Drosophila melanogaster: one gene and its partner. The protein of the gene in region 2 purifies or fractionates together with the protein of the main gene of each other region. This does not show direct contact. Each region holds a gene or a part of one and is shown on either strand. Other genes may lie near its edges. The genes, in order: Snap24 and nSyb.

Region 1 (4,301 bases), on a different chromosome or scaffold from region 2:
ACCGACATGCGCTGCTTGAAGGAGTACGTTCGCGTCTCTGCGGTGGTGGTGGGCAGATAGGAGCGCCGAGGGCGCGGTAGGGCGGCACCCGAATAAGTGGAGCTCATGGACTGCCTCTTCTTGCCCGCCTCCACTTTTAATTTGGAGGTCGCTGGCTTCACAGAATCAGCGGAGATCTTTAGAGCTTTGGCAATTAGCTCAGAGACTTCGTTCACTACCTCGTTGACATGGGCGACCTCCTTTTCGGCTCCGGCTGGCGAGACCAGCATGGATACTCCTTCGTTGGATACTGTAAATGTAGATGTTTATAGAACGAAACCATATCTCAATAGTATAAACCTACCTTCAGTTATATTCTCTAAAACTACGTTCGCACTCAAGGGATAGACTTGGCTGGGAGCTGGGGTCTTGGCAGCCTCCTGCAAGGATACATTGTCCATGGTAGCATCCCCTGTTTTTAGGGTATTGGCCTTAACCGTATTGGCGGTCACGTCCACTGAACTGGACAAGGTCGAGTTATCGCCGCCACACCCCTCCGGTTGTGTGTTTTCCTTGTCGTCAATTTGGGTCAGATCTATGCTCTCCATGATCTGTGGTGTCTGCGTTTCGGTCGAAATATTGCCCTTGGAGGGAGTGGAGCACAAGGCGTTGTGCCGGTTAAGAATACTTTTGTCAAATGGGCGCAGAGGAGAATTCTGGTCCGGTTCCCCAATGGTCAACTGATGCAGATCCTTTAGGATAGTGCGCCTTAGGTCCTTATCATCGGTGTTTACCTCCACCTTGCTGTTGTGCACCTCCAGGAACTGGCTGTTCTGGGTGACCAGGGCCGACTGCCACTTGGCATTGGACAGGGTGTCCTCCGCGTCAAAGGATAAATACATGGAGACGCTCTCATCGTTTGTCATTATCGATGAGCTACGGGAATCGATCTGCTGGAAGTGAAACTATTGTTTTAGCAATGAAAATGGGATAATGTTCGGAAGTCTTTTCCCGGCAAATGGAAGCAACACCAACTGAAACCACCAAACACTTGCCTTGCCGGCCATAGTTCTGCGCGAATCGTCCATGGTTAAGTATATGCTATTCCCAATTGGCCACGAGGAATTCCCAAATTAATAAATACAAGCAATTAAGCAAAAATTCGAGCAGCTGAAGACCGACGCTGTACCGAAAAAACAAAGCGTTAATATTTCAAACACACTTTTCAACACTGCGCGCGCAATGAAGATAGCAACGGCGCCGATGGGAATGCGCGGCTTTAAATTATGAAAAGTATTGAAAAAACTATAAATTCTTCACTACTTTCAAATTGATGTTAACGCGTAGGAGACTTTGTAGAAATAAATCTAATTTTTTCGGCACACGACGAATTGAAAGGTTACAGTGACTAGATGGGAAATATTTTTGAAAACATAAAATAATTGTGTTTTATCAGACTCGAACAGGGTTCATGTCTTAGATAAAAGTGTAATATCAGACTGGATTATTAGTTTATGCATGGTAAATCGACTTTTAAACTCAGATTTAATAGTAAAATGTAAGAAAGCCCTCTTTCGTAAATAGTTTGCAGCTTGTTTTGCTTAATTTCTTTAATTGTACTTGTTGCGAACTAAGCCTAAATGCAATATTAAACTTTTAAACTCAGATTTAATAGTAAAACGTAAGCAAGCCCTGTTTCGTAAATAGTTTGCAGCTTGTTTTGCATAATTTCTTTAATTGTACTTGTTGCGAACTAAGCCTAAATGCAATATTAAACAGTGTGAACACACGTAAAAATCGCCTATCGAAAACGACATCGATACTAACATCGATTTTTTTGCAGCTCTAGTATACAAATTGGCGAATTGTTGTGTGGTGTGAAAATTCATACTTTCGCAAATAAATTATTAAACCTTGGCAATAAGTTCCTACGTACGGAGCACAAACGAGCTCATCCCCGCCCCAATTACATATCCACCGAGTTCACACACCGAACCAGCACCAAGGGTAGTTTTTCATCTCGCGCGAGTGAGTCACTGGCCAGATTTCCCCACCCAAAAAAAAAACAAGACAGCCGTCTTGCCTCTCAACCACTTGCCAAGCTCAAGTTCAAGTGATCTCACCAGATAGATAGTTCCGAAATGGCCGCCGTGGAGAATGCCGAGCCGCGCACTGAGCTCCAGGAGCTGCAGTTCAAGTCCGGACAGGTGGCCGATGAATCCCTGGAGAGCACGCGTCGGATGCTCGCCCTCATGGACGAAAGCAAGGAGGCTGGAATCCGCACGCTGGTGGCCCTGGATGACCAGGGCGAGCAGTTGGACCGCATTGAGGAGGGCATGGACCGGATCAACGCGGACATGAGGGAGGCGGAGAAGAACTTGAGTGGCATGGAAAAGTGCTGTGGCATCTGTGTGCTGCCGTGGAAGAAGGTGAACATCAAGGACGACGGTGAGAGCGCCTGGAAGGCCAATGACGATGGCAAAATCGTGGCCAGCCAGCCGCAAAGGGTCATTGATGAGCGGGAACGCGGCGGCATGGGTGCACCACCGCAGTCCGGCTATGTGGCCAGGATCACGAACGATGCGCGTGAGGATGAGATGGACGAGAATCTCGGGCAGGTGAACTCGATGCTGGGCAACCTGCGCAACATGGCCCTGGACATGGGCTCCGAGCTGGAGAACCAAAACAAACAGGTTGATCGCATCAATGCCAAGGGCGATGCCAACAACATTCGCATGGACGGCGTGAACAAGCGCGCCAACAATCTGCTCAAGAGTTAAATATGCACAACGGCCACGTCCCGAAACCATAGCGAACATGTTAGTCAGACACCACCTCCATTTCAATGTTGTTAGGGAAAGAAACCAATGTTGTGGGCACAAACCGTAGCTGGTGGTATTGCGTTATTGATACCATATATTATACACATATACAAGTAGTGGCAACTACTCCTGGCAAACGCAAGCGTAACAAACCCATCTACTTACAAGAACTTTAAGCCGCCGAGCCGGATGAACTAACTACTACTTTCTAAAACTATATATATATATATATATATATATATATATATATATATATATATATATATATATATATATATATACATATATGCGAACCAACATACTAACTACTTACTATTACTACACTCGTGTACAAATGGCAACCAGATGGCGCCGGAAACAATTTTATTATGAGATTTACCGTATATGATGTACTCTGTTTTTGGTACAAACTTTTTGAGCATTTTACCGATCTTTGTGAAATCAAACCAAGCAACTGCTGAGATGGATAAATGTGAATTAATGTATTTACAATTCGTAGAACCACCGCATCCCGCACGGGCACCGAAAAACCAAACAAAGACGGGCGGAAATTATGTATAACGTAGCCAATTTTATGTTCTCCATTGTTAACCCTTTTTAAGTAGGCCATGTATTTGGGCATTTCGCAAGCCCAGCACAGCAGTCCAAGCACCAATTCTATTGAATTACACTAGATTTGCACTCGAACCTCTTGCTTCGTACATATGAATAATTTATCCCCAGTGAATGTAACCCCGATCGAGTTACGTAGCTCTAGCTTAAGTACTTGAAATTGTTGGTTGCAATTATCGCAAATATTTAAGAAACTACCTGTTTGTGCGCAAGATATTTCTCGTTAATTATTAAATGTACTATGGAACGAGTATAGCCAATTGATTAGATAACTTATTTATCGCTACTATTGCCACTTTAGCTTACATTCTTAGCTCTTAATTGCAAGTAAATATAAACAAAATAATTCACCACCAAAACGTGTTAATGGATTTATTGCACTGTACAAAATATTTCGATTAACTGAGAATTTTAGGGCACTCGAAAGTAGTTGCTGGTTGCTATGTAGCCGCTGAAGTCCTCGTCGCAATCGTCGGACTGGGCGAATTCGATTTCCGGCGCCGCCTCGACGGGAATGTACACAATGCTGCCGCGGGTTACCAAGATCTCCTTATCTCCCTGCTGGGTTTTCAATTTAAGAATGCGGGATCCCTTTAGAACTATCAATATGGAGCCGAATGCTTGTATCTCCAGCTTGTACGACTCCAGCGAGTGTTCGATATTCACATTTATCACTGCAAAGTCGGATACTGGCGGAATATAGACCTGGACCTGGTCATCTATGCGGTACGGAATGAACTCCTTGCGATCCTTATACGAACTTTCGAAGATCACAGATTCCAGCAGCTGGTCCACATCCTTGTACTTGGGCGTTAGGCCCGCCCGTATCACATTGTCCGAGCAAGCCATGCACTCCACACAGTCGCCGTCCAGGTAGGCATGAATCTC
Region 2 (7,863 bases):
AGCGCGCACGTAAACAAAACGCAGCAAATGAATCGCTTGTATATTTTCACTAGACTTTGGGATTATTAGCTTTTGCTGCTGGCTTCATTTCTTTTTTGTTTGTTGTTTTTTTTTCCAGCCGACTACGCTTGCTGTTTTTGTATAAGTAAACTTGCTTGAAAACATTTAACTGCCTTTTCTCTGGCGGCCCGTCGATTCAAATTCATCTTTTTGGATTATACATTTCGAATATCATATTTGCGTAACTTTACTTAGGAACAAAGCTTAGATTTCATTTCTTTGGTTTCGCGTCTGTTCCGAAATAGTTATGATTCTGTTAGTTTTGTCTAGTCGATTTGCTAAGGAAACTGAGTTCAAAGAGCTGCGAACATCGGGAAGCGACCGCCTGTCCTCCTGCTTCCACTGGCGCTCCTTGTTGCCAGTGCAGCGTAGAGATGCTAGTTCCGTATAGGGTGGTAGTACAGGGTAGTGGTTGGAGTCACTCGTAATATTCAAGTTCCATATATTTGTATTTGTATTTAGATTTGTATTTATATTTATAATTATATATACCGTTTTATGCATGAAATAATGTAACCATAAACAAATTAGCAACAACTTCAAATTGTCCGGAGCGTCTGCATTAGATTTAGTATTAATATTATGACGTAAGTTACTTAAAACCTCTCACACCAACTCGTGCACATCGTCTAAGTGAAAATTATTATTGAGTTTTCATTGCAATTCTCGAGATTTTCTAGTTTAACTGAGTTTTCCTTTCTTGGTTTTCTTTTGTCTTCTCTGCTTTGTTTTCGCCCGCTGAAGGAGCACACTAATCGAGAAACTTTCGTCCTGGCAGCGGGATTGCTTACACGCCGCCGTGATCGCCAGCTCCTGCCGATCCTCCTGCTCCTGCTCCGTCTCCTGCTCCTGCCGCATCCACCAGCGATGACTGTCCTCCGGCTGGCTGCTGCGGTGGCGGCGGCGGTGGCTGCATGTACTGTGGGGGATACTGGTACTGTGGCGGCTGCTCCCCGCCTATGAGTCCAAGTTTATCTGTTTTAAAATGATGCAAGAATTAGTAGGGCACGACATGTGATGGCTCTTTGCGCTCTTTAGCCAATCTCAGACAACGATACACGAGTATACGCCAAAAATATTACACTTCAAGGCTTAAAAGCTCACTCATGACGGAATATAGCAAGTGGACATGGGATGTGGACGGTGGGTGGGGGCGGACAGCAGGGACAACTGCATCGAACAGGTATGGATATATATATATATATATACATATATATTTATGTACATTTAGGCAGTCACTGGAAGCTGTCTTCCTTTGAGCCTCCCGAAGAGAAGTCCTCTCGCTTTTGGTGCAATAAACTTAGGCCAATTTTAAAATACATACAACATTGAATTGTAAAAATCAAATAATAAGGCACTAATCACACATAGACATCGATTAACTCACATACATGCGGCTAAGGCTGGCGGTAAACGATGAGACACCGTTTACAGCCAGCCGAAATAATATAAAACCAGAGGAACGGCGGAAACGGAAGTGGGAGCACAAACGGAAACGGAAGTAAGAAGAAGCGCAGGTGTCAAATTACTGGGTATGATTATTTGCATTGATATGTTGCCGTTTTTTCGTTTGCTTACAGTGTATCGGATTAGATCGATTTTGTCAATGGTACAAAGAAAGTGTGAAATGTTTTCTTTTCGATTTTGATTAATTTTGACTATGGTTCTACGGATGCGTCTTGGTGGTTAATCGATGGCTGATTAGTTTGGTTGGTTGGTTGGTTGGTTGGTTGGTTGAATGTTGGTTTTCAAGAGAGATCGTGAGCGTTCTATTGTCCAGTCGCCACTTCATTCGACGGACTCTGTGGGTGGTCGGTCAATTTCTCGGCCAATGGTTTCTCGAGTGTCGGTGGTTCAGATTTTAGATTTTGTGTATGGTGGTGTGGTTGTAGTTGTTGTTCTTGTTGTTGTAGTAGTTGTGGTGGTGGTGGTGGTGCTGAATCAGGTGCAGTTGCCGATGCCGGAGCCACCTGCTGCTGCAAGGCAGGAGGCTGCGGAGCAGCATTATCATCCGACATGTACGGTTCTACGAGAAATTTTTCGGTGAGTTCATGTTGTTGTTTAATTCAAATCGATTTGTTTTCAAAGCGAGCAGATAAAGATGATAACAATAAAGTATAAATATAGAAACGGTTTTGAGCGATGTAAAACAAAGGATTTATCAACTGGTGCACCTAGCAATAAATGTGGCGTATGAGTAATAAATAAAAGATTGCTCTCGCTGTTTACCTCACACACAAAGTGTTATATTGGGTAAATTGATTTGCTTATGGTTAATAAAATTGTACAAAGCTGAAGCTTTCTGTGTGATTATTCTTCGTCTTTCTCTGTAATTGTTCAAAAATATGGTTCGGTGTTGAGAGTGTGTCAAATCAAGGTGAAAACATTAAAAAAAAACTTAGGTAAATGAAGAAGAATGGCAGTACTTTATGCTTTTGCTGTGGTTCAGTGGCACAAGAAAGGCTGGCTTTTCCAATCCGAAGGCCGTTGCGCTTGCGTGGAGGCTTAGTAACGAGTAACGAGTAACGAGTTGCGTGAAGGCTTAGTATTGAGTAACGAGTTACGAGAAGGGACTACTTTTACTGGGGAAGTGGATTCAAGTTTTGTATTTTACACAGGACATGGCACAGTCGTGTGTCTGTGGCTGGGGTGCTGCTGCCAATATCAGAACGAAACAAACGAAAAACGGATACGGATACGGATACGGTTAACGAAACACTGAACAAACCACAAACTTTACGATTACGGCTTACGGGAGTTAGAACTAGCTAGCTAGAACTTAAGGTCCTACGGATAAGGCTAACGGGCACCATTGAGTATCGGTCCATCTCCGCCAGATCGGCTTCTGGCCGGGGTCCTTCCATTGTCGTCCAGACCCTCAGCCGCAACCCACATGGACGGAGCTGGCGGATCCGATACTCGGCGTGATCTCAACTTGATTACTGGTGGTGGTTAGGCAACGTAACGAAACGAAACAACACAGGACACGACTTTCAGTGGGCATCAAATGAAATCTTTACCGAACCTGTGCGTATGCTCGTATGGAACCAGATGATGTTGGGCTTGGGCATACATGGTACACAATACAAATACTCGCATATGTATGCCACTTAGCATTTAGTTATTGTTCTAGTGGTGGCTGAAGCGCATGACATGATATGATCGATCGATCTATAGTTATGGGAATTTCGCAAGGCATCTAGGTCGAATCGGTTGAGCGAACGGTCAGTTGGACTGTGAGTTCGCAGCTCTACTCATAGCAGTTGTGAATGAGTTGAATTTGGTTTCGGTTTTGGTTTCGATTTGGATTTCGATTGGTTCTTATTGGGTTGATTGATTGGCTTTTGATTTGGTTTCGATTTGCATTGCATTGCGGCTAAGAACTAAATTCTTACGGATTAGATAGTTAGCAATCTACATAAAGTTACCTAGAGAAAAAAAGTGGCGGAATTAAGAACGCAATTTAGATTCGGTGTGTAGATAAACGAAAGCGATTTGGGCCAACGAAATCAGCGCTAAATCAAGGCGAACTCAAAAGACAAACACAACTGGGTAACTGGGTGATCTTGAAAGTATCTTCGGTTCTGTGTGTGCGTGGTGAGTCGAGTGGTGTGGTGTGGTGTGGCGTGGGTCAAGGTCAGTTTCTCTGGGGTATGTGTGTCCCAGAAATGAGTGCACCAAGTTCGCCCAGGATCTGTCAACTTACTTGCAATAATGCCCACGACAACCAGGCCAATCACGCCCATGATGATCATCATCTGTGCGGAGAAAACAAAGATTGAAGTTCGGTCCGACAAGGTAACTGCCATCGTCGCACTTACCTTTAAGTTCTGAAGCCAGAATTTCCTCTTGAGCTTGCCCGCCTGCTGCTCAAACTGCGAGGCACCCTGCTGCAAGGCATCGGCACGGTCGTCCAGCTCCGACAGCTTGCTGTCGCGCTCCAGCACCTTCTCCACGTTCGTGCGCATGATGTCCACGACCTGGTCGGGGATTCAGGGTTGCAGTGGTTAATGGAATGGCTGATCTGTGATCGACTTTCAGTCCCGGAACTCACCTCATCGACCTGCGCCTGCGTCTGCTGCAGACGCTTCTGTGCCGCGATCTGCTGCGGATTGTGTGGTCCGCCCACAATCTCGCCATCGCCGCCCTCTCCGGCCGGGGCTCCGGCATTGGGTGGTGCATCGCCAGCTGGTGCAGCGTCCGCCCTGCGGAGGAGGTCGTCATTAGTCATCGGATGCGAGAACAAGAATAGCTCGGGCCAAGATTAATCAACTTCCAACGGGGGCTCTCGCATTAAATACAGTACTTAGATTACACAAAGAGTGGGTGTGGGTGGGTGGTTACGAACGACTATGGTTTCTAGCTTTAATCGAAATATCTCCAAGATACGTGTGGGCTACGGACAGTGCTGGAGTATAGTTCTAGCCAGCTACCCTTTAACTTGGAGAGACACTTACTGTTCCTTGTTCTTGTCTTTCTTTCCCATCTCAGACCCCCAAAAACTTTGACCTTTAACTCGGCTTCTGGGCTCTGCGGGGCCAAAGGAAGGGAAATTGTTAATTTTAAATAAAAGAATTACAATAGGCGAAGCTACTTATGCTGGACTAGTTTGTATGGTTTCTACGTGATGCATATTTTTTAGTGAAACAAACAATAGAGTGAAGTATCTCAGTATTATCCATAGTCATTTGGTCATTTGGTATTGGTTATTGTTGTTGGCAAAATGTTTTCATCGAACCGTATTTCCCTTTCCCACGACAAAGAAAAAGAAATCAATATCTTACCCTAATCCCTACGACCGGCGACAATTGGTTTTTTTTTTTTACCTACGTGGAGGGAATATTTTTGGATTTCTCAACTTTCCCCGGCTTTTATTGGCAAAATCAATTTTATATGGAATCAAAGAGCATTATCAACAACTTGTATGTGTGTATAAGACGAGCTTTTCTTTTGATCATGACACATATCTTATGTTTGGTTTCAAGCGACCAAAAGAAATAGGTGCAACTTAGTTTGCATGTCCTGACTCACGGGTGCGAATCGTGTTTTTATTGATTTTGCGGTGTGAGAGACTTGGCCATGTGATGCCACAACGTCATCGCCAAGTGATTCATGCCTAGCGAACCGAAACGGCAGCTGCAGCTGGCCCGTGTTCCTTTTACGGATTTTACGGGCGCGAGCACTTGGACAAATGACAAATGAAATGAGCGACCCATGCTGCGTATACTTAATGCGGCTATCAAACGAGCATTCCCTCTGTGACGGCGAAAAGCAAGGCGGGGAATCGAAACCCCCATTTCCCCGCCGGAAAACGAATCAATAACGTCCATCCACTTACATGGCTCTGGTGGCTGTGTGGTTGCTTCTGTGGTTTGGCTGGTGGTGCTCTGGTGGCCTCAGCGAATTCGGCTGTCGATGATTAGGATGAAGGTACTCTATGCACGATGCACTTGGCCTCTTTCACTGTCTTCCACTGGCGCAGGTCGGGATGTGGGATGGTCAGTGGGCGGTGGTGGCGTTGGTGGTGTAGGTAGTGGGTGGTGGTGCAGCTGAACTCTGTTTCGTTGTTTTTGTTCTAGAGGGTTGCGCTCTCAGTGCCGCTTCTCTCTCTCTCTCTCTGTTTCTCTCTCTCTCTGTCGCTCTTCCGCCAGAGCTTTTTCGCCCCGTCGTCAATGAAAATTCACTCCACTCCACGGGGGGATTGGCTGGATCTGGATGATGTGTATGTGTGCGGGTAACACTTGCCACGACAGCCTTTCGCAGGAATTTTCTGGCTCAGCGCTGGAACTGCTGCTGAATAGAGTGCGAAAATAGTTGCAACTATTTTTAGTACATCGGTTAATGCTTGAAATGGGCAGCTATGGGATTCTAATTGGGACGTAAGAGGACTATTTGGGTGGCAGCAACACGCCCAGCCATGAGGCATGTCCTTCCTCATTTCCGTTGCATACCCCCAGGGGCACCTAAGATGTCTTCAAAATGCAAAACGTTTTAAAAATAATTTCAAGTGCCCAACTGGCCAACGTGGGCTCAGAAGAAAAAATCAATGAAATTCTGCACGACAAGGGTTTTCGCTGACTTTGGTTGACATTTCGTTTGATCTTCGTTTTCCTAATCAATCAGTTTTAGCACTTTTGATCAGAATCACTTTACTTTTGCTCGGGCAACTTGAGTTTACAAAAACCAGGCTTAACTAATATTTTACGAATTTTTTTACGCAGCACCAGGAAAATTTTCACTTACGACGTTTTTGGCCAACTGCGAAAACTTGCAGCTTTCCTAACTGTTATGTGTATTTGGGGAAAAAGCTGCCTGGATGGCCAGCAGCGAATGGTGTTCCAGCGAGAAGCTTTTCCTTAGCGATTTCCAAGTGCCGATGGCCAAGGGGTGGGAAATTTAAAAACAAGCCGGGCTTTCCATCAAGAAAAAGAAATGCTCAAAGTTCTAGTAATATTACAGTTTGAAGTTTTAACTTTGTATTTTTAAATATATCGTGTAAATAATTATATCAATTGATTTGAACAAGGTTTAAAATGCACAGAACTATTCGTCTAAATTGATTTAAAGCGGTTTCCTGAACTTTGTCTGAATCCACACGCGGTACATTTTCAAGCCGCGACAGCGATTAACTTGCAGTCTTCGGTCCACAATGAGCTGCTCCTCCTGCAGCCCCGCTTGAGTCATCATACCCCGCAGTTCTTCCTCCGTGAAGAAGTACACCATGGTGCCGTCGCCTCGCACGTAGAAGTTGTCCTCCATACACTTGCCGCTCTTGAAGCGCAGCTGTGCCAGGTCGTATCGTCCGTAGTCGCGGAAGAGGAGCAAGCCACCGGGACGCAGGTAGCGATAGCAATTGTCCAATACCCGCTGCATTTTCTTTGGCTCAATTGCGGACAGCACAAAAATCATCACAATAATGTCCTGTGAGTTTTCCTCGAAGGGCACCTGCCAATGATCCAGCGTGGCATCCATGACAAACACCTCGCAGCGCTTCTCGTCGAACTGCCGTTGGCTTCGCAGGATTTCAATGGCCCGGGCGGAGAAGTCACATCCGAAAACCTTGAGCTGCGGTTCAGAGCTGTACTGTAGAAGGGGTAAAATTGTGTTTCCTACTCCACAGCCCAGTTCGAAAATGCTACGTGGTTGCAGTACCGCCGAATCCGCCGCCAGAGGAGCTAGTTCGGGGAACTCCGTAAACAGCCAGTGGCGATCCTTGAAGAAGCGGTTGTCGTGAATGCCGTAGAAGGAATCCCAAAACTTGGGGGCGTCTGTCTGAAATCGCTCCTTCTGCTCCGCTTCCATCTTTGAGGTCGAATTCTTGGCTACAGCCGCCTTCGCGGCCAGTTCCTGCTCTTCATCCCATTGCACGTGGTCCCTGTGAATCCATGTTTAGAGGGATTTTCATGAGTACTGAACGGCAGATAAGTACCAGGCGTTAAACTCGAACACCTCTCGCGCGTCGGTGAGCACCCGGCTGCCCGCTCCCGACGGTTTTTTACGCTGGCGAGTGTGTTCCCAACTTTTGCTGGCCAATCTCCGGAGGATTTGCCACCCATATTTACCAAGCATTGTGCTTGAAGACGTCGTCAGCATCCGTGAGCAGGCGGGTTCCGAACTGCGGTCGCTTTTCGTTCTCCGCGGCGGGGTTGTCACTCATATCGGACAGGAATGACGGTATATATCACCTGTTTGTGCGATCCAAATTATATATTTTGGTAAACACGCCGCCAGTGTGGCCGTGCACCGATCCAATAAAGTTAAACCGTTAGTATTTTCGAAGCGGCTCTCTTCCGAGCGGGAAAT

The links.
Region 1: the proteins of nSyb (region 2) and Snap24 purify together in Drosophila melanogaster (affinity purification with mass spectrometry; 2 studies listed by BioGRID, with this or other methods). This does not show direct contact.

Annotation. Positions count from the first base shown.
Region 1 is NT_033777.3:9,760,669-9,764,969, reverse strand, and holds Snap24 (Synaptosomal-associated protein 24kDa), read left to right. Parts: upstream 1-1,819; 5' UTR 1,820-2,120; coding exon 2,121-2,759; 3' UTR 2,760-3,665; downstream 3,666-4,301. Other genes in the region: CG8478 (uncharacterized protein), read right to left, coding at 1-289, 344-944, 1,035-1,067; Mpi (mannose phosphate isomerase), read right to left, coding at 3,825-4,301.
Region 2 is NT_037436.4:1,631,420-1,639,282, forward strand, and holds the start of nSyb (neuronal synaptobrevin), read right to left. Parts: upstream 6,256-7,863; 5' UTR 6,214-6,255; intron 6,194-6,213; exon of another isoform or gene 6,140-6,193; intron 5,854-6,139; exon of another isoform or gene 5,851-5,853; 5' UTR 5,401-5,850; coding exon 5,399-5,400; intron 4,591-5,398; exon of another isoform or gene 4,547-4,590; coding exon of another isoform or gene 4,518-4,546; intron 4,266-4,517; coding exon 4,115-4,265; intron 4,041-4,114; coding exon 3,882-4,040; intron 3,819-3,881; coding exon 3,767-3,818; intron 3,489-3,766; coding exon of another isoform or gene 3,475-3,488; exon of another isoform or gene 3,086-3,474; intron 2,388-3,085; coding exon of another isoform or gene 2,371-2,387; exon of another isoform or gene 2,290-2,370; intron 2,087-2,289; coding exon 1,830-2,086; 3' UTR 1,639-1,829; intron 1,036-1,638; coding exon of another isoform or gene 848-1,035; 3' UTR 1-847. Other genes in the region: Mettl2 (methyltransferase like 2), read right to left, coding at 6,622-7,435, 7,490-7,653. UniProt on the Drosophila melanogaster protein: Involved in the targeting and/or fusion of transport vesicles to their target membrane. Major SNARE protein of synaptic vesicles which mediates fusion of synaptic vesicles to release neurotransmitters.